Linked DNA regions of Callithrix jacchus. The protein of the gene in region 6 purifies or fractionates together with the protein of the main gene of each other region. This does not show direct contact. Links are inferred from orthologs where the notes say so. Each region holds a gene or a part of one and is shown on either strand. Other genes may lie near its edges.

What was found.
Region 1: the proteins of NAPA (region 6) and BNIP1 purify together in Homo sapiens (affinity purification with mass spectrometry; 3 studies listed by BioGRID and IntAct, with this or other methods). This does not show direct contact. The link is inferred for Callithrix jacchus from reciprocal best matches to the Homo sapiens genes NAPA and BNIP1.
Region 2: the proteins of NAPA (region 6) and NAPG purify together in Homo sapiens (affinity purification with mass spectrometry; 3 studies listed by BioGRID and IntAct, counting the BioPlex papers as one, with this or other methods). This does not show direct contact. The link is inferred for Callithrix jacchus from reciprocal best matches to the Homo sapiens genes NAPA and NAPG.
Region 3: the proteins of NAPA (region 6) and STX5 purify together in Homo sapiens (affinity purification with mass spectrometry; 3 studies listed by BioGRID and IntAct, with this or other methods). This does not show direct contact. The link is inferred for Callithrix jacchus from reciprocal best matches to the Homo sapiens genes NAPA and STX5.
Region 4: the proteins of NAPA (region 6) and STX12 purify together in Homo sapiens (affinity purification with mass spectrometry; 4 studies listed by BioGRID and IntAct, counting the BioPlex papers as one, with this or other methods). This does not show direct contact. The link is inferred for Callithrix jacchus from reciprocal best matches to the Homo sapiens genes NAPA and STX12.
Region 5: the proteins of NAPA (region 6) and SCFD1 purify together in Homo sapiens (affinity purification with mass spectrometry; 3 studies listed by BioGRID and IntAct, with this or other methods). This does not show direct contact. The link is inferred for Callithrix jacchus from reciprocal best matches to the Homo sapiens genes NAPA and SCFD1.
Region 7: the proteins of NAPA (region 6) and VPS45 purify together in Homo sapiens (affinity purification with mass spectrometry; 3 studies listed by BioGRID and IntAct, with this or other methods). This does not show direct contact. The link is inferred for Callithrix jacchus from reciprocal best matches to the Homo sapiens genes NAPA and VPS45.

What each region holds. Positions count from the first base shown.
Region 1 is NC_133503.1:65,504,688-65,509,305, reverse strand, and holds the start of BNIP1 (vesicle transport protein SEC20), read right to left. Parts: upstream 3,025-4,618; 5' UTR 3,012-3,024; coding exon 2,928-3,011; intron 1,044-2,927; coding exon 951-1,043; intron 1-950. UniProt on the Homo sapiens protein: As part of a SNARE complex may be involved in endoplasmic reticulum membranes fusion and be required for the maintenance of endoplasmic reticulum organization. Also plays a role in apoptosis.
Region 2 is NC_133514.1:52,332,913-52,336,829, forward strand, and holds part of NAPG (gamma-soluble NSF attachment protein), read right to left. Parts: intron 2,746-3,917; coding exon 2,678-2,745; intron 789-2,677; coding exon 704-788; intron 1-703. UniProt on the Homo sapiens protein: Required for vesicular transport between the endoplasmic reticulum and the Golgi apparatus.
Region 3 is NC_133511.1:120,104,820-120,108,736, reverse strand, and holds part of STX5 (syntaxin-5), read left to right. Parts: intron 1-3,100; coding exon 3,101-3,217; intron 3,218-3,297; coding exon 3,298-3,354; intron 3,355-3,518; coding exon 3,519-3,600; intron 3,601-3,917. UniProt on the Homo sapiens protein: Mediates endoplasmic reticulum to Golgi transport.
Region 4 is NC_133508.1:64,484,024-64,487,662, reverse strand, and holds part of STX12 (syntaxin-12), read right to left. Parts: intron 2,164-3,639; coding exon 2,091-2,163; intron 978-2,090; coding exon 895-977; intron 1-894. UniProt on the Homo sapiens protein: SNARE promoting fusion of transport vesicles with target membranes. Together with SNARE STX6, promotes movement of vesicles from endosomes to the cell membrane, and may therefore function in the endocytic recycling pathway.
Region 5 is NC_133509.1:65,016,095-65,020,733, reverse strand, and holds the start of SCFD1 (sec1 family domain-containing protein 1), read right to left. Parts: upstream 2,849-4,639; 5' UTR 2,829-2,848; coding exon 2,762-2,828; intron 75-2,761; exon of another isoform or gene 49-74; intron 1-48. UniProt on the Homo sapiens protein: Plays a role in SNARE-pin assembly and Golgi-to-ER retrograde transport via its interaction with COG4. Involved in vesicular transport between the endoplasmic reticulum and the Golgi.
Region 6 is NC_133523.1:41,438,518-41,442,434, reverse strand, and holds part of NAPA (alpha-soluble NSF attachment protein), read left to right. Parts: intron 1-394; coding exon 395-511; intron 512-3,917. UniProt on the Homo sapiens protein: Required for vesicular transport between the endoplasmic reticulum and the Golgi apparatus. Together with GNA12 promotes CDH5 localization to plasma membrane.
Region 7 is NC_133519.1:9,988,103-9,992,798, forward strand, and holds the start of VPS45 (vacuolar protein sorting-associated protein 45), read left to right. Parts: upstream 1-1,592; 5' UTR 1,593-1,714; coding exon 1,715-1,807; intron 1,808-2,483; coding exon 2,484-2,618; intron 2,619-4,696. UniProt on the Homo sapiens protein: May play a role in vesicle-mediated protein trafficking from the Golgi stack through the trans-Golgi network.

The DNA.
Region 1 (4,618 bases), on a different chromosome or scaffold from region 6:
ACATCATTTTAGGTGTGTAGACATAGTCATCCTTCCAACTCCTGAGTTCCGGCCCTGGGCCTGGGCCATTCCTATACACTTTGAGGGACCACTGTAGGCCCCTTTACCCATGAGCTACATGCAGGATCCTCGGGTACCGAGATGGGGGCTTTAAAACTTGAGCCCTTCATAGTCAGGTCCATAACCTGTTTCCTGTCTTTTTCTCAGCAGGCCCCGGACCCATGAAACAGTAGTCTTTACCTTCTGATTCTGATCTAGATCCTGAACTTGGAAACAATTAGAACCTGGATCCAAATTCTGTCTGAAAGAAACAGAATAGGCTGGGCTCATGCCTGGAATTCCAGCCCTTTCAAAAGCCAAAGCAGGATTGCTTGAGCCCAGGAGTTTAAGAAGCCCAAGCAACATAATGAGACTCCATCTCTATTTTAAAAAAAACAAGATTAGCCAGGTGCAGTAGCTCATGCCTGTAAACCCAGGCTGAGGCGGGCAGATCACGAGATGAGGAGTTCGAGACCAGCCGGGCCAACATAGTGAAAACCTGAAAACCCATTTCTACAAAATTACAAAAATTAGCCAGGCATGGTGGCACACACCTGTGGTCCAAGCTACTTGGGAGGCTGTGGCAGGAGAATCGCTTGAACATGGGAGGTGGAGGTTGTGCTGAGCTGAGATCATGCCACTGCACTCCAGCCTGGGCAACAGAGCGAGACTTCACCTAAAAAAAACTGCCACTCATTGACACAGCTGGCAGTGTTCTGCATGCAAAAGTTTCTCATTTTTACCTGGAAAGCAGGTTAGTACAGAGTCCCTCTTACTGTCGAAGTGTTTACTACTCCCATTAGCTGGTGTTTGAAGAACCCAGACAGCTTCAAGCAGAGGATATACCCAGGACTGAGCCCCTTCATTGGCTGAACTGAGATACTCAGCATCTCAGTTCTTAGAATACCCACCTGTATTCTGTGACGCAACTGTTGAAATTTCTCTTTTACTTTAGTGTTCAGTTCAGTAAGAGTACTTAAGGGTCCTGAACAATCACGGATATCCTAGGAGACATTGAACAGATAAGAGGCCTTTCTCAAGGCAGTGAAATGAAATGACACCATCCATAAAGTTAGAGTTGGTTTAGACCAACTGATATTAACGTACTGACTGTAATTCGTCCTGATCTTTGCTGTTTACCTCTGCAACATGGGCAAAAATATTATCATTTACATTTTTCTCATTCCTCTTTAATGTTAAAATTACTATAAAAGCCTAGAAAGAAACACAATTGCTTTGACCTAATTTTTAGTTCCTAAATTTTAATAAAATCTTATGTGGCCAGTATGAAAAAGCTTAAAACAGCTTGTATGCCCAACAAGAATGGACATGCAAAAGCAATACTATTAACTTCAGAATCTGAGATCCTTCCAACTTGAAGATCAGGATGCTTAAATATCTGGCATCATATGATGAGATTAACTTCTTCATTGTGATTTGACAAACCATCAGTGATAAGTCAGAGTGTTTATACAGACATGTTTAAGGGCAGATTTAGAATCTGTTCCTGGACATTCAGCAACAGATTCAGCAACAGCTGGTGCCAGGTTTCAGAGCAGGTTCTGGAGACAGACCATGTGGATTCTAATCCTGGCTGAAGCAACTTATTAGTTGTGTAAAGTTACTTGGAAAAGTTATTTAAATTCTGTCTCAGTTTAAATTCTCCCCCTCATTGCAACACTACTTATCTCACAGATCATAGATCATACATGCATGTAAAGCACTTAGCAGAGCAATGGAACACAGTAAGAGTGCAATAATACATCCAGCTATAATGAATCTTTCTTATCAGGAATCACAAGAACCCAAATGTTAGAAAGGGTACAGAAGGGTGCTTAAGCAATTTAGATTAAGAGAAAATGCAATTTCATTTGTATGAAACTTGTTTATTTTTCTATAACTGACCCAGAAGTTCTGTAATGTACATGTCAGAGAAGTGAAGTTCAATAAGTTTTAAGTATCTCCATCAAATTTCAATTTTTCTCTGGCTTACTCATTTAATCACACTTCTTTGCACCGTATGATAAACTACGAATTTGGTTTATTCTGCATCTGGTTTATCTGGGGAGCCCTACTTTCCTGCACTTTTGCCACACCTTGTTACAAACTCATTCTGAGTCTACATCTAATGTTTAGTGACTTCGTTGAAAATTATTTGCTTTAAACCAAAGTTTAAAACTCTTGGTTTCTTTTTGCTAAACTCATGGAACCGTGTCTACGTTCCTAATTCTTGCCTACATCAACTCGTTTATCTTACCTCTACCCTTAAATGGCTTAAGGCAAAGCATCTCATTTCCTATCCATACAAACAGATTAACACTCTAGGTGTTTTTCCTAGACTGACTTTCCCAGTCCAGGTCCCAGTTTTGCCATTGACCCAGATCTGCCTTCTAACCTGGGCCTTGGCGCTATATTCGATTTCCTCAAGCATAAAATCACAACTACGGCCCAGGTTACTTTGGTGCCTCCCGTGCCAGGTGGCAGGGGGCGGGGCTAGCGGCCTCCCGGACGCTACTAGGTGATGGGGAAGCAAATGTCAGAAGGCGGGGCCAAGCAGGGTGGCAGGTATGTTGTGAGGTGGTCACGGGCGAGGCGACGACTAGGGCAGCAGGTGGAGGGGTAAAGCCGAGCCGCGAAGCATGGGTCAGAGGCGGCGAACAGTGGGGCGCTCTGGAAATGGGCGATCCAGCAGCACTCGTAAGGAGGATCAAGGCCAGCAGTCACGGGGACAAGACCAAATGGGGAACAGGGGGTAGCCGGCCATGGGGCGGAGCCAGTGGCCTGAGAAACCAATTGGGGAAAGTTCCGCAGTTACACTGCCGCGCTCACAGACCAGCAGAGCTTGGGTCAGGGCTGCTGGAGCCCGGCAGGGGTCCCGGGATCAATACCTGAATAAGGGCCTTCACCTCCAGGTCAAATTTGACTATCTCTTGGTTACAGATCCGGACGTGGACATCTTGGAGAGCCGCCATGTTGGGGACGGACGCCGGCTACGGGCAGCGGCAGGGTCCAAGTTCAAACGCGTTTTCGCACCGCCTTTTTCCCTCCCCACCCAGTCTGCGGGCAGCGCCCCCCTAGAGACCGGCGAAAATGGCAAGCGAGGGTCCCTGCTTAACAGTTGGAACTTTACCTGACACGTGGAGGGAAATCAGCCTCTCCTCTTAGTAAGACCCTATTAACATGGAGAGGAGGATAAGAGGGAATATCAAGAACGCTTCACAGTGATCTCTTTCCAACTTCCTTCTGTCAGGCATTCTAATAACTACGTATTTTTTGCATAGAAAAAACAAAGATGGGAAGAAAAGTATCAATTGGGATGTCTCTGGAAAGTACAAGTAACAATTTTTTGTTTCTTTAAATTTTCTTATATTTTTAATATTTTCTACAGTGAGTATAAATTGTGGAGTAAAAGAGAAAATTATAAACGTTATATGCTTTTTAAAGTATGGAGTTCAAAGCAGGTCGGTAGAGTTCCTCCTAGCACTCCAACACGATTCTAGGGATCTTTGGAAAACGTGAAATTGATCAAGTCACCTCCCTGTATGCAGCCTTTCTGTGGTTCCTGATGATTCTCTTTTGTATACCCTCAACAAATCGTGACTCTTTTATTTTTGTTGGTAAATAATGCAACTTTCTTAGCTGGTTCTCAAGGCCATCAGCCACCCCGGCCACCAGCCACCCCATCCTGCAGGCACCCTTCTTGGATCCCTCAAGCTTTCTGGATATGTAGTCTTAGAATGTGGTGTTCCCTTTTCCTAGAATGCTTTTCCCCACTCGACCCCCCTCCATCTGCTTTTGTTCATGTCACTTCAGCAAGCATAGCTTGTGAAGAGCTGAATGCCCTAGGACCTGCATGTTCATCTCTTAATCCTCACAGCCATCCTTGAAATTGTACTACTAGTATTATAGATCAGGAGATGGGCTGAAAGTAGATTAAAACAAAAGAAAACAACCAACCCTGCCCCAAGATTACCCATCCTGAAAGTGTCACAGTCTCTACTGAAAGCCATCTTTTCCCCAAAAAATCAACATGGCCCCCACTTGTAAGCGGGGCTCTGTGCTTGTGTGTTCCTGCAGACCTCTACACACCCTCTCGTAAGGTACTCATCACCCCACTGCACCTAATGGAGAGGCAGTGTATCACAGGAATCATATCTGCCAGAGCTCAAATCCTGTCCACAGCATACTTTGCATGCCTGTGCCTGTGTCCTCAGAGGCTAACTGGTGGTAATCAATAGCACCTTCACAGGTTGGAGGATTGAGTAATACATGAAAAGCACCAAGCACGGTGTGCTAATGTGGCATGTGGTAAGATCTCAACGCCCGTTAGCTGCTATTATTCTACTACTAGCCAACATTTTGGGAGCACTTCTTATGCGCCAGGAACTTTGTCCTAAGTTCTTCTCGTGTGTCTCGCTTAACTCTCACAACTCTGTGAGGTACAAAAGGACAGAGAAGAATAATGACTTGCCCAGAGTAAATGGAGTTGCTAGGTCAAAGGACATACGCATTTTAAAATTCTTACGTACTGGTGCGTCACAACCAGGGTGCCCGCCCCACTCGTCCAGCCCGCCTGCCT
Region 2 (3,917 bases), on a different chromosome or scaffold from region 6:
GAATGGAAGTAATGAAGTCAAAGTTAAGGAAAAAAGGAAAAAAATCAATAGTTTCTAGAGATCTACTATTTAAAGACAGTTAACTAAATCACTGACCCAGGTGGTTCCAAAAGACAAATCCTACAACCAAGTAAAGAAGAAATAATTCAAAGCCTGTTGATATAGTTTAAAACTATATAATTCTCCAAAACACTGACATAACACAAATTTTAAACTATTTCTATTATGCAATTCACTGAAGTGCAAAGTTATTATGACTACACTTTGCAAATAAGAGAAACATTTTTTATCAGAAAGTTTTCAAATGCCTACTATAATTCTTATTTCAAATACCTGAGGAAAAAACTGTATTTTTAAAAAACTGATACAGTAGTTTATGCGTTTTCAATACCTGTCCTACTTCTTCATTCTTCAGCATGACTACAGATTTCCCTTACGTCATCACAAGTAAAACATCATCAAGTAAAACTATAAACAACAGAAACTAAGTTCTCAAATGTAGCTCTTCGAACCAGTGTGGACCTTATGATGAAACTTCACTATAAACGCTCCTTTACAGTTTAAAAATACACAATTTTTCTAATCATTTTCTAATTTAAAAACATTTTACTTCACAGGTAGTAAAGCAAATTTATAGCAAGAGAAAACAGCTTGTCAAAATCATCTAATTGTTTAATTTCTTTTTAAAGGTTGAAAAAGATACGCCCTATTATTTTCATGGGCAACAGCTTCCCTCAGGCAGGCATCTTTTGCTTGCTCAAACTGTTTGGCATTTTTAAAAGCAACAGCTGAAAAAGAAAAAAAAAAAACTGACTCTCTATTTCCATCACTGAAAAACCTCAAATGAATCATTACTAAAATCTGCATTGTATATGAAGTATTACAGACACACATTTCAAATACTTAGGAAGTTTCCAAAAACTATAAAATATTACTTTTTTCTAAAGCAATTTCCTTACAACTTTTCCAATTATCAGTAACTTAGGAGTATTTTTAAGTTTTTCTTTTTTAATTGTTGACTACTGGCAACGAATCAGTTACTTCAATTAGAAATCAGTAAGTCTTTCTAACTCCAACACTCCCTAACACTCTCCAGTGACAGGTAGATTCTTTAGTCACAAAAGACAGCACCTTACTTCACTACTTTTACATTTAATAATAAAACAGAACTTTAGGTATAGGTCATTGAATTATGTAGAAACTGAAGGCCAATAAGCACATTAAATAGTTTTTTTATAATAAACCTTCCTTTGGTATAATCTTTAAATGTCTAACAATGCATTTAAAAAAAATCTTTTATACTGTTTACTGTCTATAAAAAATATCTCACTGTTTAAACAGCTAAAGTATACTGCGAGCTGTTTTAAAAGTGTAATCATCAAAGCAAAACAGGAATGCTTATAAAATATAATCTTAAAATTTTGGAAAACTTTTCAAGGGCTGCTTACAAAGAAGCAAAAAGCATAATGCTTTAAGAAAAGTGTTATCTGTTAAAAACACTCTTAAAATTCTCTTTAATAAGATGTGAAAACCAAATACTGAACGATTCTCCTCCCTGCTTTTCTATCTGTTGCTTTTTTAAAAATTTATTCTGATTAAATAGATTTTTCATAAGCCCTTAAAGAAAATAAACAAAGAATGCTTCAATGGAAAAATCTGATCTAAAACATTTATTTTTGAATGTAGTTAATGTTCTCAGAGGGCTATAAAACAAATGTGTGTTAAATTTCCCTCACAGTGGAAACCTGCAAAACGTTGTTCCCTTCTGTTACAGAAGCCTCCTTGCAGAAGTAGTCCATAAAATTCACACAAAGTTGGAACTTTTAATAATTTTAAAGTATGAGATATAAACAGTTTGCATGATGCAAAAAAAAAAAAAACCAGAATTTACTCTGATTTAAATAAAAGTACTGAAGACTCATTTGCTGTTTATCCAAAAGCACTAGCCCTAGATGATCTCTATGCTAGGCTAACACATGTGATCAGGGTTATCGCTGAAATACAGCTGACAATGTGTTCAAGGTACTTCAAAATTTTGTTTTATTTTATTTATATTCCAAGTCATCACAGATATGCTGAAAGCTATCATTCTATAATTTAGAATGCTAAATTTTTAGTAAAATTCCCTTTCTGTTGCATATTTTAGATTGTTTATATCTTACATACAAATAAAATGATTAAAATACATATATAGCTTAACACTTCATGAACAATGAACAAATACACTCAAAGTGAGGTTCATAAAGGATAAAAGTACCAAGCAAACATCATCTGTAGATCTGCTTAAGATGAGGATAAATTAACAAAACAATTTAACAAACTCTTTATTCAACAGAAAGTATAATCGAGAAATATGGCAAAATTCATGGATACAGTATACAAATAACTAGAGTTGAAAAATATATAAGCAATGCTAAAAACCCACTGCTGTATATCACCAACCTCGCCCCATCCCTGCTGTCATAAACAACAGGTACCAAGATCTCTGACTCAGCTCTCAACACATCTGAAAATAACAAGAGGAGAAACACTCAAGGGTTTGCACAGTTGTTCTGTTTGTTTTTTTAACTATTAAAGCCTTGTAGAAAGCACATGAGTAAGCATTACGGTGAAATGAAGTTATCAGACTATATTTTAAGATTACATACTAGAGCAACTGGACTATAGTAAAAAATACCTGCTTTTCCATATTCAGAAGCGGCACTGTCATAATCTGGCTTCCATTTTAAAAAACCAGTTTTCAGGCTAGAATGAAAAAAAAACACAGTTAACAGAAGTTACCAACCACATTTATAAGTCAGATACCTGCTTCTAGGTTAAAAAAAAACAAAACAGGAGGAGCCATCAGGCACAAACTCTTTGTGTCACCCTCCTCCACCCAAACTTACGCCTCACAAATACAACCTCAGCTCTTTCTCTCCCACTGTCACAGGTATGTGGTTTTCCTCCTAGAGGTTCTCAATTCATGGTCCCCAGACCAGCAGCATCAGCACTGCCTGGGAACTTACTAAAAATGTAAATTACTGACCCCATCCCAAGCCTACAGAACCTCTGAGGTTTAACAAGCCCGAAGGTTCATTAAAGCTTACGAACATCTGAAGTATGGTAATGACAGCAGAGGGGATTCATGAAACTGAAGTGCGACGAGAGGCTAGAGACATAAATGGAGGTGTCATAAGCAAATGTCAAGAGCATAGATGAGATCCCCTAGTGAGAATGCATAGAGAGAACAGAAACACTAAGGAATACAATCATTCAGTGGAATGACAGAGGGAGTAGGCACAAAAGCCAAGAGACACTGCTTTCCAGGACCACTACTGGCTTCTTAAGACGCCAAATCAAAGGCCAGTTTTTTAAATCCTTATCTTACTTGCCTTTCTTTTCCTCAATATTTTATTTCTTTTTCTTACTTTAAAATAATTTCACACTTGGTTTAAACTAATTCAGTAACTGTCAAATTTGAGTGTGCATAAGAATTGCCCAAACCATCTTAAATTCTAAATTTCATTCCATTAGGGAAGGCCTGCTTGGATAGAATGCTGCTTGCTTCAAATGAATCAGGGCAGTACCTTAACTGAAAGATGGAAAATCTGAATTAGCCCTCAGAAGTATAGCCTTCCTTCTGTGACAGCCATGTGAACTGCCAAAAGTCGTAGCCTTTTTTTTTTTCTTGTGATAGGGTCTCACTTGGTTGCCCAGGCTGGAGTGCAGTGGTGTGATCTCGGCTCACTGCAACCTCTGCTTCTCGGGTTCAAGTGACTCTCGTGCCTCAGCCTCCTGAGTGTCTAGGATTACAGGTTTGTGCCACCACACTCAGCTAATTTTTGTATTTTTAGCAGAGAAGACGTTTCACCATGTTGGTCAGTCTGGTCTTAGACTCCTGGCCTCAAGTGATGTACCTGCCTAGGCCTCCCAAA
Region 3 (3,917 bases), on a different chromosome or scaffold from region 6:
GCCCCGCAAAGTGCTGGGATTACAGCGTGAGCCACCGTGCCCGGCCAAAAGCAGGGACTTTTTTCCAGCTTGTTTACAGATGTATTCCTAGTCCCCATAACAGTATTTGGGACATAGTAACCTCTCAATATTTATTGATTCAGGGATTGGCAGGAAGCTGGAAAGGTAGGTTGGTGGCTGGTTCTAGAGAGCATATGGGCCTTGCTAAGGCATGTGGAGTCATCTTGAATGCCATGGGCTGCAAATGGAGTCTGACCTGGAATATGGATGGGGCAGAGAGACTGGGGAGGAGGCTGGTGTGATTGTCTGGGACAAAGATCATTGTGGCAGATGGCCGACCCATCTAAGAGATGATGCACTAATGGAAAAGAAAGGGTTCCATTAACTAGGGGTGTTATTGCCTAGGCATTTAAGAGCCAGCTTACTGGATTGACAGACCTGAGTTCATATCCCAGGTCTAGCACTTATGTTGAGTCCTTGGGGAAGCTCTTGATTACTCTGAGCTTCAATTCCTTTATTAGTAAGAAGGGAATATTAACAGTACCTATCTCGTAGGGTTCTTGTGAGGGTTCATTTTTTTCTTTTAATCACTGCCATTATGGAGCAACTCTTTCAGAGCCAAGACTAACTTTATTTATGTATTTATTTTTTTTTTGAGGTGGAGTCTTGCTCTGTCACCAGGCTGGAGTGCAGTGGCCCAGTCTCGGCTCACTACAACCTCCGCCTCCTGGGTTCAAGTGATTCTTCTGCCTCAGTCTCCCAAGTAGCTGAGACCACAGGCGTGCCACCACACCTGGCTACTTTTTGTATTTTTAGTAGAGATGGAGTTTCACCATGTTGGCCAGGGTGGTCTCGATCTCTTGACCTCATGATCCGCCCGCCTCACCCTCCCAGAGTGCTGGGATTACAGGTGTGAGCCACTGCGCCCGACTGGCTAACTTTATTTTTAAATTATTTATTTATTTTTTGAAACGAAGTTTTCCTCTGTTGCCCAGGCCAGAGTGCAGTGGCACAATCTTGGCTCACTGCAACTTCCACCTCCTGACTTCAAGTGATTCTCCTGCCTCCCTAGTCACTGGGACTACAGGCACCCACCACCAATGTCTGGTTCATTTTTTAATCTTTGATAGAGATGGGGTTTTACCATGTTGGCCAGGCTGGTCTCAAACTCCTGACCTCAAGTAATCTGCCCACCTCAGCCTCCCAGAGTACTGGGATTACAGGTGTGGGCCACTGCACTCAGCTGTAATAATAACTTTTATTTTTATTTTTTTAATTTTTTAATTTTTTGAGATGGAGTTTTGCTGTTGTTACCCAGATTGGAGTGCAATGGCACGATCTCGGCTCACTGCAACCTCCGCCTCCTGGGTTCAAGCAATTCTCCTGCCTCAGCCTCCCGAGTACCTGGGACTACAGGCACACACCACCATGCCCAGCTAATTTTTATATTTTTAGTAGAGACGGGGTTTCACCTTGTTGACCAGGATGGTCTCGATCTCTTGACCTCGTGATCCACCCGCCTCAGCCTCCCAAAGTGCTGGGATTATAGGCATAAGCCACCATGCCTGGCCAACTTTTATTTTTAAATTTAATTAATTAATGTATTTATTTTGAGATGGAGTTGGCCAGGCGTGGTGGCTCATGCCTGTAATCCAAGCACTTTGGAGGCCAAGGCGGGCAGATCACCTGAGGTCGGGAGTTCAAGACCAGCCGGACCAAGATGGTGAAACCCTTTCTTTTAAAATAAATAAATAAATGAAAGAATGAATGAATGAATGAGATGGAGTTTCACTCCTGTTGCCCAGGCTGGAGTGCAGTGGCACCATCTCAGCTCATTGCAACCTCTGCCTCTTGGGTTCAAGTGATTCTCCTGCCTTACCCTCCTGAATAGCTGGGATTACAGGCACATGCCACCATGCCTGGCTAATTTTTGTATTTTCAGTAGAGACGGGGTTTCTCCATGTTGGTCAGGCTGGTCTCAAACTCCTAACCTCACGTGATCTGCCTGCCTTGGCCTCCCAAAGTGCTGGGATTACAGACATGAGCCACTGCACCGGCCAATAAAAAGTTGTTTTTTTTTTTTTTTTTTTGAGACGTAGTTTCACTCTTGTTACCCAGGCTGGAGTGCAATGGCACAATCCTGGCTCACCGCAACCTCCACCTCCTGAGTTCAGGCAATTCTCCTGCCTCAGCCTCCCGAGTAGCTGGGATTACAGGCACGCGCCACCATGCCCAGCTAATTTTTTGTATCTTTAGTAGAGACGGGGTTTCACCATGTTGACCAAGATGGTCTCAATCTCTTGACCTCGTGATCCACCCGCCTTGGCCTCCCAAAGTGCTGGGATTATACCCATGAGCCACCGCGCCCGGCACTTTTTTTTTATTTAAGACACAGTCTCGCTCTCTCACCAGGCTGGAGTGCAGTGGCACAATCTCAGCTCACTGCAACCTCCGCCTTCTGGGTTCAAGTGATTCTGCTGCCTCAGTCTCCCAAGTAGCTGAGAATACAGGTGTGCACCATCACACCCAGCTATTTTTTTGTATTTTTAGTAGAGACGGGGTTTCACTGTGTTGGCCAGGATGGTCTCGATCTCTTGACCTCATGATTTGCCCACTTTAGCCTCCCAAAGTGCTGGTATTACAGGTGTCAGCCACCAAGGAATTATGTCTATAAAAACAATTCTGTTGATGCCTCTGGAAACTACAGTGCCTTTGGCTATTCCTTTTTCCTAAGGATTGTCCAGGTGCTTTGTTGGTTATGCTCTAGACCCAAGATTTTGGCCTTTGAAAGAGTTCTGTAGCCAAGAGCATGGCCTCACAGAGTGGAGCCAGGGCAGTAGGCTGGAGGAATAAACAAGTCATTTACAAATAGATGAAGCCCTCTTTGCCTCTTTCTAGCTCTTCTCTGCAGGGACTGAGCTAGAGCATATACTAGACTTTGGAAAATTCTAGTAGGCCCATCTGGTCTGACTGTCTGGGATATTCTCACTTTAGTTAGTAACTTCCACCTTGCCCTTCCTACCAGAGATGGCCATGGGGAGAGAAGCTGACTGAGGACTCCTTGGCTAATACTTGATTTTTCCGTGGGCTCTTTTACCAGGACATCAATAGCCTCAACAAACAGATTGCTCAGCTCCAAGATTTCGTGAGGGCCAAGGGCAGCCAGAGTGGCCGGCACCTGCAGACCCATTCCAACACCATTGTGGTGTCCTTGCAGGTGGGACCTGGGGAGGAAGGGAGGGAGGGAAAGGGGAGGAATGTGGAGTCTTTGGTTGACCCTCTCTCCTTTTCTTCTAGTCGAAACTGGCTTCTATGTCCAATGACTTCAAATCGGTTTTAGAAGTGAGGACAGAGGTGAGAACAATCTGCATAGGAGGGATAAGAATATGGGGGTAAGGATCCAGGAGGGAAATGGGGAAGGGACAAGTCCTACAGGGTCATGGGCCAACAGTGGGAATCTCCTTAACATGCCTGCTTTCTAGCGGCTTCAGGTCCTTTGCATTTTTCCCCAATCCCAGAACCTGAAGCAGCAGAGGAGCCGGAGAGAGCAGTTCTCCCGGGCACCTGTGTCAGCCCTGCCCCTTGCCCCTAACCACCTGGGTAAGTCACAGGTAAAATGGGAAGCCCCAGGAGGTAAGGCTACTTACTCTGATTGTGATGGCATCTTCTTCTTTTTTTTTTTTCTTTTTAATAAAGACAGGGTTTCACCATATTGGTCAGGCTGGTATTGAACTCCTGACCTCAGGTGATTCCCCTGCCTCAGCCTCCCAAAGTGTTAGGATTACAGGCATGAGCCACCGTGCCCAGCTTGTGATGGCATCTTCTAAAGGCAGGTGTTGGGTAGGAGAGTGGAGGGTCAAGGAAATTGCTAGGCTGAACCAGATGGTTGAGATTCATGATCCTGCATTCTCACTGTT
Region 4 (3,639 bases), on a different chromosome or scaffold from region 6:
AATACAGCTATCCCAGGAACATGGAAAATAGCTGAAAAGCGATTTATTTCTAAAAAGCCATGCAACAACAAATTGAAGGGAGATGAGAAGGACTCCATTTACATTATTTGTAGGCTGAGATAAAGATCTGGGTAAGTCAAAAAACCAGAGTTTCAACTAATACAAAGAAGGAGTTCACATCACAGGAACAGTTCCAGAATAATTACTCCTATTTATTCATATATAAATAGCAGTCAAAGTTGCTATGTCCATCCTCTATGGCAACAGTCAACATAAATATCTATGAAGTCTTCTACTTTAACTTCTTACTATCCTAAGTGAAACACATTCAGCTGTTCAGGACATAAAATAGCCTTATGCCATATTTAGGTATCATGCTAGTTTATTTTTAAAAAATTTTTTGAGATGGAGTCTTGCTCTGTTGCCCAGGCTGCAGTGCAATGGCGGGATCTTGGCTTGCTGCAACAACCTCCGCCTCCTGGGTTCAAGAATGTGCGCCACCACGCCCAGCCAATTTTTTGTATTTTTAGTAGAGATGGGGTTTCGCCATGTTGGTCAGGGTGGTCTTGAACTCCTGACCTCATAATTCGCCCACCTTGGCCTCCCAAAGTGCTGGGATTATAGGCGTTGGCCACCACACCCAGCCTCATGCTAGTTTATAGGGTTAGCTTTGCAGTTAAGAGGCTTCTGGTAGGTTTATTCAGGGTTTGATTATTTTTTGTAGATCTATCTGCAAAGAAAAATACTAAAAATGGAACTGGGACTGCAATTATGACTACTTTCCTTTAGGTAAATATAAGCAAAAGCCTGTAGCTGTTCTCAATAATGTCAACGTACTCTGATAACCTAAAAAGTCTAAAACACAGAATGATTTTCTTTGGTATCCACTTTTACCTGATAATAAGCAGCTCGCTGTAACTGTTCAGTGGCTCTTTCAACATGTACCTCTGAGCTTTCCACATTGGCTTCTATGCTATCTGCAAAAGGAAGGACAGAGGATGTTTTAACACATTCAGATGTTTCAAGACTGCAAATTGAACAGATTTCTGATGTTATGGGTCTAGTTTCACTACCACCATCCAAACTATCCACCATGAAATCAAGTTACTACCTTGATAAGAGACTAGCCCTATTCGTTGGGAAAAAAACATCAAATTTTTGGGGGCTAGGAATTATTTAACTCACCCATAAATGATTCAGAAAAAATTATGTATATACTCATAGACAGAGAAAGAATACATAATAAAGCAAATGGGATAGAATGTTAACAGGAGGTAAATCTGGGTAAAGGGTATAAAGAAGGTCCTTGTAATATTTTTATTTTTGCTACTTTTTTTTTTTTTTTAAGAGCTAGGATCTCACTCTATCACCTAGGCTACAGTGTAGTGGCACAATCATAGCTCACTATATAGCTTCAAACTCGTGGACTCAAGTGATCTTCCCACCTCAGCCTTCTGAGTAGCTAGGAGTACAGGTGAATGTTACTATGGCTGGCTAATTTTTTTGTAAAGACAGGGTCTCACGATATTGCCCAGGCTAGTCTTGAACTCCTGGCTTCAAGTGATCCTCCTGCCTTAGCCTCCCAAAGCGCTGGGATTATAGGTGTGAGTGACCATGCCCAGCCTATTTTTGCAACTTTTAATAAATTTGAAATTATTTCCATGTAGAAAGCTTTTTAAAAAGCTTTAAAAATAGAGTTACCCCATAATTTTGCAAGTTTGTAGAGATAAAAGCTGGGAAGCTGACAGCTATTTCTCTAAACAAAGACTTACAAAGAAACAAGTCAATGGGACTGAATATTCCCAAAACCTCACTTTAATTTCTACATTTGATAACATAAGGAAATTGCCAAGAAAAATAAATTTGGTAATTTTTAAAGTGGCATTCCTAAACTCACTTTAATTCTATAGCTGATATGACTAACTCCTTTTCTTACTTTTTTTTAATAGACAGATTCTCATTATGTTGCCCACGTTGGCCTCAAACTCCTAGGTGATGCTTGAGCCTCAGCCTCCTGCGTAGCTGGGATTGCACGTGCATGCCAAATACTATCAACTCACCTTGAGGTTAAAGCTTTCAATAATACATACCAATCAGATCACCTTGGTCATGGATCATCATGGCCAAATCTTTAAATATCTGATTGACATCCAAAATGTCAGCCTAAGGAAGACAAAAAAACAATTAACATTAAGTAACATGTTAGAAGATTTGTTTCCTTCACGTACCTAAAGTTTAGCTATTAACACATGTGTTTTTAAGGCTATATAAAGCAAGCTTTCTCCATAAACAGAAAATAATCTATTGCTGCCTACCCAGTATTGTAAAACTGAGGCACATAACCTTACCCTTTAAGCAACTTTAACTGGACATGCTACATGGGAACCAGTAAGATTCCCCAAGTCAAACAGTACAGCAGAAGGCTAGAGTACTGATATAGACAAATTCCTGGTGTCATAGCCCTATGTGGAGGCTGCTAGGCCTTTTGTGACAAAGGCCAGTGAGTACCTCTCTACGACAACCACTGGGACTGTGTACTGCAGAATTTAAATGTTTACACAGGATCATGCTATCTGAGGAATGCAAGGAGGAGCGACAAGTAAGGAGCCTCTTTTCCCCTGGGATTGACTCTGGAACTATGTGAGGAATTGCTGGATTCTATCATCACTGGACAATGCCCTATAGGAACTCCCAACTGATGGACAAAATCTGATGGTTTGTGGATAGGAGTTCCAAGGAGAATGGACTACATCCTGTTTGCTGCTCTGATCAAAGAAGGTAAAAATAAATCAGCTTGGTGGGCTGAACTGCAGCTTGTTTTCCTAACAGCAGTGGAAGAACTGAACATTGGCAAAATCCCCTATATTTGGGTCTTTCCCTCCCTCCCTCCCTCCCTCCCTTCCCTCTCCTCTCTCTCTTTCTTTCCTTCCTTTCCCTCCCTCCCTCTTTCTCTCTCTCTCTTTTTTTTTTTTTGAGAGTCTCGCTCTGTTGCCCAGGCTGGAGTGCAGTAGCACAATCTCATCTCACTGCAACCTCTGCCTCCTGGATTCAAACAATTCACCTGCCTCAGCCTCCTGAACAGCTGGGATTACAGGAATGTGCCACCACACCAGCTAATTTTTGTAATTTTAGTAGAGACAGGGTTTCACCATGTTGGCCAGGATGGTCTCGATCTCCTGACCTCTTGATTTACCCACCTCGGCCTCCTAAAGTGTTAGGATTATAGGAGTGAGCCACTGCACCTGGCCACCCAGCTAATTTTTGTATCTGTAGTACAGATGGGGTTTCACCATGTTGGCCAGGCTGGTCTCGAACTCCTGACCTTGTGATCCACCCGCCTGGGCCGCCCAAAGTGCTAGGATTATAGGTGTGGGCCACCGTGCCTGGCCTCTTTCTCTCACCCTTTTTCTTTCTTTTCCTTTCCCCTTCTTTCCCTCCCTCCCTTCCTCTCTCTTTTCTTTCCCTCCCTTCCTTGTTTCTTTCTCTTTCATTTCCCTCCTTTCCTTTTTTTTTTTTTTGAACTGTAGATTTCATTATGGAATCTTTTTTTAACTTAATTTGTATATAGGTCTCTTGATGTTTTGGGAATTTTGTTCTAAGACATGTTGAAGCTGTGCGGTAGTTATTGGGTTTATAAGT
Region 5 (4,639 bases), on a different chromosome or scaffold from region 6:
TGTAGTTATTGGGGATCTAGCAACTGAACAAAACGTGAATAAAATTACCTGTTCTCACGTAGCTTTCATTCTAACTGCGGAATAAAGAAAGAAAAAGTAAAACATACGGTATGTAGATGATGATAAGTGCTATGAAGAAAGGTAAGACTGGGAAAGGGGAAGACGGAGTTGGGGTATTAAACAGGGTAATCAAGGAAGGTCTCCTGAGAAGGTAACATTCGAGTAAAGAGCTAAAGGAAGTGAGGGAGCAAGCCATGGAGATTATCTCTGTAGCAGTATTCCAGAAAGAAGAAACAAATACAAAGGCTTGAAGGTGGGAACATTCCTGGTGGGTTCAAGGAAAGCGAAAGGTAATAGGGAGTGAGGTCCAAATATGTGGGAACCAGATTGTATAAGGCCTTGAAGAAGGCTGTAAGACCACTTTGGTTTTTATCATGGTTGAAATGGGAAGATGATAGATTTTGAGCAAACATATGGCATGATCAGTTTGTGGAAAATAATTAAGGAAACAGGACTGGAAAGCAAGAAGACCAAATAGGTTACTGCAGAAATTCACAGTGGATAGGACCCAGGAATAGCAATGACAACAGTCAGATCCTGGATATATTTTCAGAGTAGAACTGACAAGATTTACTGGAAGATCTGACATGAGCAATATGAAAGAGACAAGTCAAGAAAACTTCAAGGTTTTTGACCTGAACAACTATAAGGATGGAATTGCCATTCATTGATATGGAGTAGACTGAGTTCAGATGGGAGGGCCAGACTAGAGATATAAACTTGGGAATCACCAACATACAGATAATACTGAAAGCTAAGGAGCTAGATGCTAACAGTACTGGGATCTTGCAATGGGTGGCGGGGGCAGAGAAGATGAGCAAAAACCTATAATGAGGAGGCATTTAATGAAGAACAACAGTAACACAAAGCAGGAAGCAACTGTTTACACCTGTTGAACTGAAGGTATGGATAGAGAAGGCAGTGAACCAGGAAGAAAGGAGATGGCTTGTGGGATGACCTTCAAAAGATCAATAAAGATTCTTCGGGCAGTCAAAGCAAGAAACAGACATGTTAGTTTACCTCTATCATACTTTCCTCACCTGTAAAATGGAGATAATACATAATCACCTAAAACAATGCCTAAAAATAGTAAATGCTCAATAAATACCAACTATTATCTCATCCACCCAAATATTCTGGTATCTAGAATATTTGAGGATTGTGAGTTACTTTCCAAAACATTCTCAATATGAATGAGGAAAATAGCTAATTCTGCATTATAATACATATACAAGGATTTACCTTCCTCTGAAAATGAGACAGAATTCAATGACAGTAAAAATTTGATTAAAAAAAACAGATCTAGCACAATTTATCTAATTATTCTGTAAAATATTATGTTTATTTCTGCAGAAATACAAATTATCAGATTTAAATGATCTACAAAGTTTCTGCATACAAGTTTACTGCCATGCAAATTTATTTTTCAGAAAGCTCCCTTATATTAGTACAATTTCACTGACATGTTATTTTAACATGTAGTATAGTCATAAGAATCACAGTGTTAAGACACATGGAGCACATGGAGCTTCTATTTGCTTACACCGATAAAGTGAATGGCAGGTATTCCCCGAATCTTATTTGAACTTCCCTATATTTAGTTATGCCTGACTTCGCCGGATAGGTTATACTAAATTATCTACTGGGAAAAGCAGAACGCAACTCAATATTCTTTGTATCATTACTAGGTTGAAGTCTATCATTTTTTCTGTAAATGCCAAAGGAAGGAATCAAGTATAGCCCAAATCCTTTCTATACGTCATAGGAATTATAGTTATTTTCCTATTCATATTTCTATCATAAGAGCATAATTTCAGGAAACAGAATTCCAAGTATGCACATTCTTGATGCCTTATTTCTATCAGCTTCTCAATAAATGGCTTGAAAACTTTCAAGACAATTAGTTAACAAGCATAAACCTTTAGTTTGTAGCTAACAGGTATGAACCAAGTTGTCATGAGTTTTCAAATAAGGCAAAACTAATTTCTAAGATGGAAACCCCTCCCAAACTCACGAGAATATGTTCCTTTTTACATTTCTCTGCCTAAATGGAAGCTATATAAACACGCTCTATTGAAGACAAATTATTTTGAAACAATAATCTGTCAAACAATTAAAATGAGAAAGCTATTTATTAATTTGTTTTGCCATTCTTCCATTCCTTCCAGCAAGCTGAAGGAGGAAATCTTTATCACCGGGCATTTTTCTGCAGTACCCTCAAAAGATTGTTCCAAAGTAAAGTGGCGCAAAGCAAGCCGCTGTGAAAATACCTAAAATCTGTAATTGTGGTGGAGGTGCCAGAAAATGGGAGTTCTCTCAAAAATCAAAACTAAAACTGAACCACGCACAGAAACCAACGCGGAGACCTTATAGGTGGCAAAATAGAGAAGAAGGTATCAACTGCTAGATCTTGTGATGGCCTTCGGATGCCCACCAGGAAAAAGAAAAAAGCAGGCCGTATCCACCGCACACCGCTGAAGCTCCTTTTCCTGCACCACAGGAGGAACCGAGTCCTCAAGCTAATGGCATCTTCTCCCCAAAAATTCAAAGGGGAGGAGCTTTTGATGTTCTAGGGACTGGACTGAACTCTGAGAGATCGGTCTCTGAGCTGCACGCACCACGACCGAGTGAGGGCGACAAGCAGAAAAGGATATCTTCGTGGCAGTCACGAAGCTTCAAGGGGAAGAGAATAATTCAGTACCTGTCTGCCTTTCCCGAATACTGGCTAAGGCCGCTGAGGCCGCCGCCGCCACCGCCGCCGTCGCCATCTTGGCTCCCACGAGCCACTGCCCGGCAAGCTTGCGGAGCCGGGGGATGACGTGGCTGCCCTTATCGCCCCGGAAGCAAAGCGCGGAGAGGCGGGGCCAAAGGAGGTGCCTGTGGGCCAGACCCCACCTCCTCCAGGAAGACCCTCGCTCTCGGTAGAACTGGGAGACCCAGTGTAGGTTAATGCCTTGGTAGCCCGTAATATTAGCAGAAGACTAAGAATTTTTATCCTATCAAATCAAGCCACATTTTCTCAAATCGTAGCTACATTAAACTGAGCTCTGAGCACTTAAGGGGTGATAATACTCCAGGAGATGAGGACCACAGGACTGAAGTAAATGAAAACTCCCGAAACACAGGCAACATGTCAGTCTTAGCTCTCGTTTCTCAGTGCAGCAGGAGTGCTCCATTTGCTTTTCCGGAGAAACGGAGCATTACTCTAATCTGGCATATTTCTCAATCGCATCTCTTTTTTTTTGAGACAGAGTGCTCTTGTTACCCAGGCTGGAGTGCGATGGCGCGATCTCGGCTCACCGCAACCTCCGCCTCCTGGGTTCAGGCAATTCTCCTGCCTCAGCCTCCCGAGTAGCTGGGACTACAGGCGCGCGCCACCATGCCCAGCTAATTTTTGTATTTTTAGTAGAGACGGGGTTTCACCATAATCGCATCTCTTAAAATAAAATGGCATAGCTTTATGGTGGCGTTCTGCTGGCATGGACACGGGACGCAGGGAAGTACAAAATGAGCAATTAGCAGTTTTCCTCTTTCCCGTGGAAAATCACAAAACATTACCGTGGGAGGGAAGTCAGGCTGTAGTGGGGGGTGTGCTGCCAAGGCTGGAATGCGCAATCAGGACTCACTGCAGCCTCAGATTCCGAGGCTCCAACAATCCTCCTGCTTCAGCCTCCCAAGTAGCCAGAAACTGCAGGGGCACATCATCAGGCCAGGCTTATGTGCTGGTTTTTTGTTGTTTTGAGGCAGTGTCTCATTCTGTCGCTCAGGCTTAAGTGCGGTGGCAGAATCTTGGTTCACTGTAGCCTCGACCTACAGAATTGAGAAGATCCTCCCAAGGTATCCTTCCACATCAGCGTCCCCAGTAGTTGGGACTACAGGCAGGGGCCACCACGCCTGGCCAAATTTTTCATTTTTTGTAGCGTTTCACCATGTTGGCCTGGCTGGTCTTGTGCTGGCGGCTTAATGTACACTTGAAGCCACGTGATGGCAAAATGTATGGGATAGATGATTTCTAACTTAATCCATACATTTTACTGTATGTTAAGAATGGATACACAATGACAGCTGATTTCCCATATGGTTTCAATAGTTCATTGATGACACTTCATTATGAAGTTGCATCAAATTCTGAAATGAAATCAGACTGCCTCAAAAACTTTCCAAAATTACATAAATGAAGTTAGCCAAACGATTATTTAAGATTGTTTTATAGTGTAAAACATTGGCTTTTTTCATTAATAAAAACTTTTTGTGTCATTTAAAATAGGTTATCTTTAATGCTATTAGGAAGTGTCCTAGCATTGAACCTACAGCCTTTAAGAATTATGTAATTCAGTGGCTCACGCCTGTAATACCAGCACTTTGGGAGGTGGAGGGAGGCAGATCACCTGAGGTCAGGAGTTCAAGACCATGGTGAAACTTAAGTCTACTAAATAATCAAAATGAACCAAGCATGGTGGTGGGCTCCTGTAATCCCAGCTACTGGGGAGGCTAAGGCAGGGAGAACTTGGGACCCGGGAGCTGGAGGTTGCAGTGAGCTGAGACTGCGCCACTGCACTCCAGCCTGGGTGACAGATCA
Region 6 (3,917 bases):
AAGGTGCAGGAGGCGACCTGGCTCTGTTGAATCTCCAGCTCAGCTCTGTCTGTGCTTTGGAGCTTTTTAGAAGTGGAGGCCCTGGAAATGCTGGCATAGCTGAGTTTAGGGACATGGCATTTTAGCTGTTCTCACTCTGGGGCTGAGGGGCTTCCCTCAAGGCAGCTGGTACCCTCAGAGACTGTCAGGTGGGCCACCAGAAGCCTCAGCCCAGGAGCCAGCAGACGTGACATCTAGGCCTCAGTAAGGGCTCGCTCAAGTCAGCCTCGTCCTCTCTTGGGGGCTCTTTCTGCATTCTCAAGAGCCCGACCTACCTCCCAGGGCCGTGTCTCTGTGGCCTCATAAATTGTGGAGCCCCCCCTGAGGCCGGGACCACCCTTCTCTTCTGTTCCAGCTGCTGGAAACGCTTTCTGCCAGGCCGCGCAGCTGCACCTGCAGCTCCAGAGCAAGCACGACGCAGCCACCTGCTTTGTGGATGCCGGCAACGCGTTCAAGAAAGCTGACCCCCAAGGTGAGGGCCTCCACGGGCCACATGGGCTGGCTGCCCGGAGGGCCATCATAGCACCCTGCATCGGGTCCTCGGGTTTCCTGGTGGCTCTGGTTTTTTCCAGTGGCCGACATGTGATAGGCTGGCAGAGACGCACCTGAGGCAGAGCAGAGCGCTGACTTCAGAACTGGCTCCCTTCCTTCCGGTTGGCATTCCCGCGCGGCTGAAGTCTCCGCCCCCCCAGCTACTGTGTGGGTGCAGCTGATTGCCCCTCCCCACGCCCAGAGCATTCGGGAGTGGGAGTTCCATTGCAGACCCACCGCCTGCCGGGGAGAGAGGAAAATCTGTTCTGTTGTCAGAATTAACACGCAGAAGGGAGCGGGGGGAGTTCTGAGACCAGCCAGGTAGGAGTCGCTGCCGAAAAAGGAGCGGAAATTAGCCCAACCTGGCTTCCCTACATCCTGGGGAAGAAGTAGAGAGAACAGAGCCCGAGATGTCGTTGCCAGAGAACAAGTTACTTAAAATGAGAGTGTGTTAGGGACAGAAGCCCAGTTTGGGGCTGACTCATGGTGAGAAAACAGTGTTTGTCCCCCAGGGTGCCTCCTGAAGAGGAAACACAGCCCAGTGATTGCCTGGGGCGGGAATTTTAATGTATTTTTAAAATCTTGGTGGGTACAGGTTGCTAATTAGCAAGCACAGGCAGTTTGTAAAAATGACTGTATACTGTCACTGTCCTCTCAGGAGAATGGAAAATATATGAATCTTTAAAAATAATCAAAAGTGTCGGGCAGTAATCAAAAGGGTGGCGCATGTCTGTAGACCCAGCTACTCGGGAGGCTGAGGTGGGAGGATTGCTTGAGCCCAGGAGTTCTGGGCTTTAGTGTGCTGTGCAGTTCGGGTGTCCGCACTAATTTCAGCATCAATATGGTGACCTCCCAGGAGCGGGGGACCACCAGGTTGCCTAAGGAGCAGGGGTCAACCAGCCCAGGTCGGAAACAGAGCAGGTCAAAACTCCTGTGCTGATCAGTAGTGGGATCGCGCCTGTGAATAGCTACTGCACTCCAGCCTGGGCAATATAGTGAGACCCCCGTCGCTCAAATAATGCTGATAATAATAATCATAATCACAATAACGAAAAGGAGCCATGTAATCTTGGAATAAAGGCCTATCCTTTCCAAGAGAAGATGGGTTTACAGCAGTGCAGGGAGTTTTCTCCACGGATCAGTAAGCCCCGGTTCACACGCCGTGTTGGGGAACTGTGTGCATACCCCTTTGTCGTGGTCTGGGGTGTGAGTTTCCAGACAAGGATGGATTTGTGTGTTGACCAGTAGCTCTTCTCTGTCCTTAGACTGGCCAGTGGTTCCCCACCAGCTGGGCATCTCACGAATTGGCCTCAGTGATCACACGGTGGGGCTGAGGCCTGGCAAGAGGCTGAGGAGCAGCCTTGTAACTGGGTGGGCTATAGAGCTGACCTGGCTGGCAGCACTGGGCCACAGCAGGCTGCATGGATGATGCAGTGACGACCCCGGGAGACCCTGGGTTGGTTGTAAGCTTGACTTACCCGGGGAGTCTCCGTGTCTTCCATTAAGCTGCCCTGCCAAGCCTTTCCTTCTGCTCCCCAGGAAACTGGCTGGCCTAGAGGCGCTGTCTTAGCATCTGTGCCGTTCAGCTGCTGCCCCATCTGGAGTGACTGGAAGGACTTGCTCTGGGGCAGCGCTGAGCACCAGGCTGTGGAACAGTGAGCGCCTTTGCTCTTTCAGCAGGCCCCTCCCTTCCTGCAGCAGGCTCTGCCTGCCAGTGGGATGTGGTGAGCTTCCTCCCCTGCATTTGATCTGAGCTTTTCTAGCCCTCTCTACAGTGTGTGGGCCGGGAGTCTGGGTGTGGCCCTTCTCTGGAATTAGGAAGCTCAGAGGGTGGCTAAGGACTCCAGCGGGTAGGAAAGTGTAAAGACGATGCCGCATCGGGGCACAGAGGCCAACTTGCGCAGACCTGAGGCGAGGAGCGGGTGAGCTTGGCTGGGGGAGAGCTCTTGGGGAAGAAAAGGAGCAGTTCTGACAGGAGAACCTCCCCTGGGTAGAGCTGAGAGCAGGTTCCATGTCCGGAGCCCTAGGGGCGTGGTGCTGAGCAGGGAGGGACAGCGTCCAGACCTATAGCCTAAAGATGCATGCCCCAGGGCACATTGGCATGAAGGGCAGCAGCTGCTTTGTGTCTGAGGCCAGTCAGTCCTCACAGAAGGCCAGGCACGTGGCTCATGCCTAGAATTTCAGTGCTTTGGGAGGCTGAGAAGGAATCCAGGAGTTCAAGACCAGCCGGGACAACATAGTGAGATCCTATCTCAAAAAAATGCCTCACAAAGAATGTCATCTAGCAGCTGTGCGTGGCTCAGCAGCACACGAGGTGGGTGGTCTCGGAGGACCTGCCTCCCCTGTGGTCTTGGGCAAGTCAGTCTTTTGGGCCTCTGTTTCCTCATCTGTTAATGCAGAGACTACTGTGAGGTGAGGCAGTCATGCCTAGCGCGGCACCTGGCGTGTGATAAACTGCCAGTCAGGATACCCTTGGCTGTCATCAGTCCAGGGACCTCTGCCTACCCTGGGCCCCCACGGTCTCTGCCCTTGGCCAGTGCGTTGTGAGGCAATGCTGAAGGCCCGATTTGGAACCTCGCCTGGCTTCCCCAAGCAGGTGACTGACTTCTGGAGCCCTCCTTATCACTGGTCTCCTCAGCAGCCTAGAAGGCCTCTGTCCAGGGTCAGCACTTCCTCCAGTAGTCCCTCCAAAGGACCCCCCCACCCCACCCCAAGTGGCAGCTGGAGTGTTCCTGAGGCCCGGCTGGGCTTCTATCATCTTCTCCTTCTGCAGAGAGGTGGCCTGCTGCCTCCTTGATGGCTCTGGGTGGGGAAGGGTGATGCCCATATGTGTCATTGGTTCCTCAATTACCCAACCACCACTGCTGCTCAGGGCAGACTCGGGCCAGGGACGCCTCTACCGGGGTCTGCCTGATAGCTGGGGCTGGGGCCAGTGTGTGTACCTGGGGCAGGGAAGGGGCCTGGCCCCTGCTTGTCCCCCACTTCCTCCCTAGCTGCCGTTTACTGGGTTCCTACTGTGTGCCAGATGCTTGGCATCTTTGAACCCATTTGATTTATTTGTGCAATTCTGTGATTTGCCCCCATTTTACTGAGGAGGAGACAGCCAGGTGTGACGGGGGGAACTTGAGAGAGGCAGAAGTCAAGCTGGGCATTGCTGGTGCAGTGTCTGTGGGGATGGGGCTGGCCTGGGCTGCAGCTCCCCCACTTGGGCTGGATTGCGCCAAGCCCCTTTCCAGCCCTCTGTGGGTGGGTGGAGGAGGGCCGGGTCATGGAGCTGGGTGTTGCTCCGCCTCTCGGGATGCCCAAGGTCTGGTGACCCGAGATAAGAGCAGCAGTCGTGTGTGTCA
Region 7 (4,696 bases), on a different chromosome or scaffold from region 6:
AAAATAAGCAGAACATGGGAAAAAATTTTCTATACTGCAGTCCACATTATAGATAAGAAAAATAAAAACTAAGTGACATGGGAGATTGGTGGTGGATTTTCAAATATCAGAAATTTACAGGATTTTCATTAGCATTGTTTCTATGTTTTCTGTAAGATATGAACATTTAAATTGGTAAGAATGAAATTTGCGTATAACACTAGTTTTTCTTATTTGTATCCATTTAAATATTCACATTTTGACTTTAATATATAACAAGATGTTTCATTCAAAACACATCTAAAAATTAGAAAATGCCTAAAGGGAAGCTTTATTTACTTGGTAGAAAAATTGAAAAACAAAACAAAACACATTCTTCACAGTTTCAGAGGTGACAAAAATCTCTTATATTTCAGTGGTTCCGATCTTCCTTAAGGGATTTGAAAATTGTATATAATGTTGCATAATCTCAAGCACATTAATGCTAAAGTGCTATTGGTTATTTTAATCGTGTATTTCTTACAATATAAAGAATTTATTTGGTAACGCTGAATCTATTGACCACAAACTCTGTCATTATTTTGGTGAAACTATTCATAAGCATTTATAGTTACTGATTTCTAGCACTTGTTTCTCATCTTCCTGATTTTACAATTCCCCAAAGTAAAGGGGCAAAAACCAAACATCTATTCTCTTTTTCATAGGGGGAGATCTGTGTGGTGTAAACACAAATGCAGACCTTCCAAGTTGATGGTTTCAAGATTCAATAAAAACTTGAGAGTTTTTGCTTCGAATCCCCACGCTACTTTGTTTTAGCTCTACGGGATACGTGTTCCCTACCCATTTCAAAGGACCCAGGCAACTCGGCTCTTGCCTGCAGTTTCAGCGCGCGAGTTGGAGCTGGCAGAGTTCAATTGCTCAGGATGCTGAGTCGGGGGCAGGGCAGAGAGAGACACTCGCAGGTCCGGTGGTCCTGCAGGCTGCGGGCCCCCAAGGCCGACCCTAGCTGGAACCGCAGTCCTCTTCCCCAAAACATCCGTAAAAGGCGTTCCCTTTGTTCATTCAACAAACATTTGTTCAATTTCATATGCCCTCTGTCTTGGGAAAACCAATTCAGGCCTCTGCAGCCCCAACACAGAGGCACTGTTCCCGCCTTATTAATGACCCGGTGAAGCCAGGAAGACGAATCTCGACCACTGCTGCGCAAATACCGCGCGTGGTTTATTAAATGCCTTCTCTCTGAGTCCCAAATGGCCGGGAGCATTAGGCCACCTCCCTTGCCCTCATCTCTCGCTACCACGCAAGAAAGCGTTAATCGCAGATAGTGACCATGGCCCCGATCCGTCGTTCCTGCTTCCAAACAAGCTTTGTGCCAGCTTCCTCATTTTGCGAGGCTCCACTCTCCTGGGCTTCAGGCTGCGGCTGGGCCTCCGGGACCAAAGGCCAAACCGGGTCTAGAGTCCCGGCCACAGACACCTCTACATGCGGGTGTAGAATAGCGCCCCCGCGTGGCGGCGGCCCAGGGCGTCTCAGCCAGATTTTTCCATCTCCGGGGTAGGCTTGGTCCCCCGTACTCTCCAGCGGAACTACAACTCCCAGCACCGTGGTTGCCCGGACTCCCGGAAGCCAAGCCCTGCAGGGAGGAAGCAGCTGAGACCCCGCCAACAAACCGGGGGGTTAATTTAGCCAGAAAAGGGGGCGGGAAGGGCTCTGGGACACCTGTCAATTCGCCACCATGAACGTGGTTTTTGCTGTGAAGCAGTACATTTCCAAAATGATAGAGGACAGCGGGCCTGGTATGAAAGTACTTCTCATGGATAAAGAGACGGTGAGTTTGCTTTTGCTCAGCATTTGTGAAGGAACCCTCTCAACCTTACAAAGGCTGGTCTCATTCCACTGTAGGATTTAGCATTTAATGTAAAGATATGAAAATGGGGTCAGTTTGTGTGGGACTGAAAAGTTGTATAAAGCTTGTACGATGGATTTTCAGTCTAAATGGCTCCAGCCACTGCCCAGAGACTACTTCTACCCGGAACAATTTATTGGAATCAGAAATCTTTTTCTAAAAGCCTCTGAAAAGAAATCATGAATATGTCAGAGCACTTGGAAGACTTTGGGATGGGCCCACTGTTTCCACTCAACATTGTGTTTTAAAGTAAAGCTGTTGGAGCTCAAGCTGAAATGACAGGTTATTTGTGGGCCAAGACCAGAAAACAAAACTCGTTAAGGTGATAGAAAAAATTATTTTTGGAAATGTATGGATTGTTCCTGTTAAAAGAGAGGATTTTTTTTTTTTTTTTTAACCTTGAAGCTTCAGCTGAAAGGATAGAGTATATTTTTCATTCTCGTATGTTACCTACCTGTTTGGATGTTCAGTAAATGTTATTCCATATATTACTATTTAATTTATCCAGCTAAGTATTAATGAAAAAAGAGGCTAGATATGCTACTTGTTTTTATTATTCTAGACTAGCATACTTTTAGTTAATTCTTTGTTTTTACAGACTGGCATAGTGAGTATGGTGTACACACAGTCGGAGATTCTTCAGAAAGAAGTGTACCTCTTTGAACGCATTGATTCTCAAAATCGAGAGATCATGAAACACCTGAAGGCAATTTGTTTTCTTCGACCTACAAAGGTACTGCATAAACTGGGCTGCCATCTGCCCAGGCAGATGCAGAACACTCTGATCTGAAAGCATTAAGACGGCAAAATAAATTTGTATTATCATGATTTGTAATTATCATTATCGGTGGCATCATAACTATCCTGGATCATCAGTGTTATAACCTTCTTCTCGTTTTGTTTCCATATTTCAGTTGACCCCTTACAGCCAGTTCTTCCTTCAAGATATCTTTTAGGTTCACAGCTATTCCCATTGCCACTAAAGAGCTACTCTCAACAGAGACCACATGGCTTCATTCCTGGATTAACCTCTGTATCTGTCACATTGAACACCATCAACACTTCATTTTATGTACAGCTATGAATGTCTTGAATCTTTACCACTTTATTCACATTTACGCTCAGGAACCTGTAATGACTCAGTGTTACTTCCATGATTAAATCTTTATTTAGCCAGCAGTTAAAGCCCTTCTTTAGTTGAGCTGCACATTTGTATCCAGCCTTCCTATGTCCTAGATCTGCTTCTCCTCTATAGCCAGCTAGGCTGCCATTGGAATGAGCCATTCTACATGCTCATTCCTGTTCCCTATTTGTTTTTCTTCTTTCACTAATTAAAAGTTCTTTGGTCATTTGTCAGTTTTTGTCCATCACCTTCTAAATCTAGCTTGAGTCTCTCCTTTGAAAATCCTTTCCTAGGCCGGGCGCGGTGGCTCACGCCTGTAATCCAAGCACTTTGGAGGCCAAGGTGGGTGGATCACCTGAGGTCGGGAGTTCAAGACCAGCCTGACCAACATGGTGAAACCCCATCTTTAAAAAAAATAATAAAATAAAATTTAGAAAATTAAAAATTAAAATTCTTTCTTATTTTCATCTTATTTTTTATACTTTCTTGTTTCATATTCATGTTCTTCAACTCTAATGCATTTTACCATGCTTGTACATTATGTGCTTTCTGAAATGCAAATTTGATCATGACACTTCCGCTTGAAATTCTTGAATGACCTCTCATTGCTTTTATGATAAGGACAAAACTCCTTAATTGTAGGCCGCGAGGTGCAGCATGGTCTAGTTTCTGCCATTTCTCCAGCCTCATTTTGAACCATTTCACTTTTGAACTCTGCACCTTAGCCCCCCTAATCTTTCAATCCGCTATATTCCCCTTGTTCCGTCATGCCGCAGGACCTTTGCATAGGCCTCTTCCTCTGCTGTGAACTTCACTTCCTCAAGTAAAGCTTTCCTGGTTTTGCCGACCAGGTCAAACCTGCCTCTTATATGCACTTACAACACCATCTTTATCTCCCTATTGCTTGTCATGGTTTGAACTTTTGTATGGTGTGCGTGATTACCAGCAGTAAGCTCCATGAATACAGACACAATATCTGTTTCTTCTCATCCTGTATTCCCAATGCTTGCCACACAGTGGACACTCAATAAATAGTTGCCGAATTCATGAATACATGCTATGTTATAATAGTTTCCAATTGTTTCATATTTATAGCACTTAGTCATGAAAATTTGGTTCAAGAGGGATCTTAGAGATCATCTTGTTCGTTATTTCCTAACGTTTTTTATTAGAGAAACTCACTGCTATGTATTGTCTCTCAAACTCTTTTAACAATTCTTCCTTTTTCTTTTTTTCATTTTATATATTCTGTTATCTTTTGCCTTTTTCCACATGTTCTGAACTTTTAGGAATCTTTTAATTCACTTTGTTATTTTTGCCTAGCATATTGTGAAGAAGTGATTTTTGGTTTAAAAGATTTATTAAAATGTTTTGCTTTAAGATTATATTATAAAGTTAATTTGAGTGCATTTTTAAATCTAAACAGTTTGTAAAACCTTTTTCCCATTAATAAGCAGTGTACGTTGCTTACATTTTTAAAAATTCTGTAAATAAATGTGATTTTAAAAACAAATTACTAAATGAAATACGTTTAGGGGACAATATATATTGAAATTTAACCAGGTGTTATGTATCAAAAATCAATAAAACCTGCATTATAATCTTATGTAGTTGTAATTCTTACATTTTGACCATTTAAAAATCAACTTTTTTGTTTTTAACTTTCATACTTTAATTTTAAAATAATA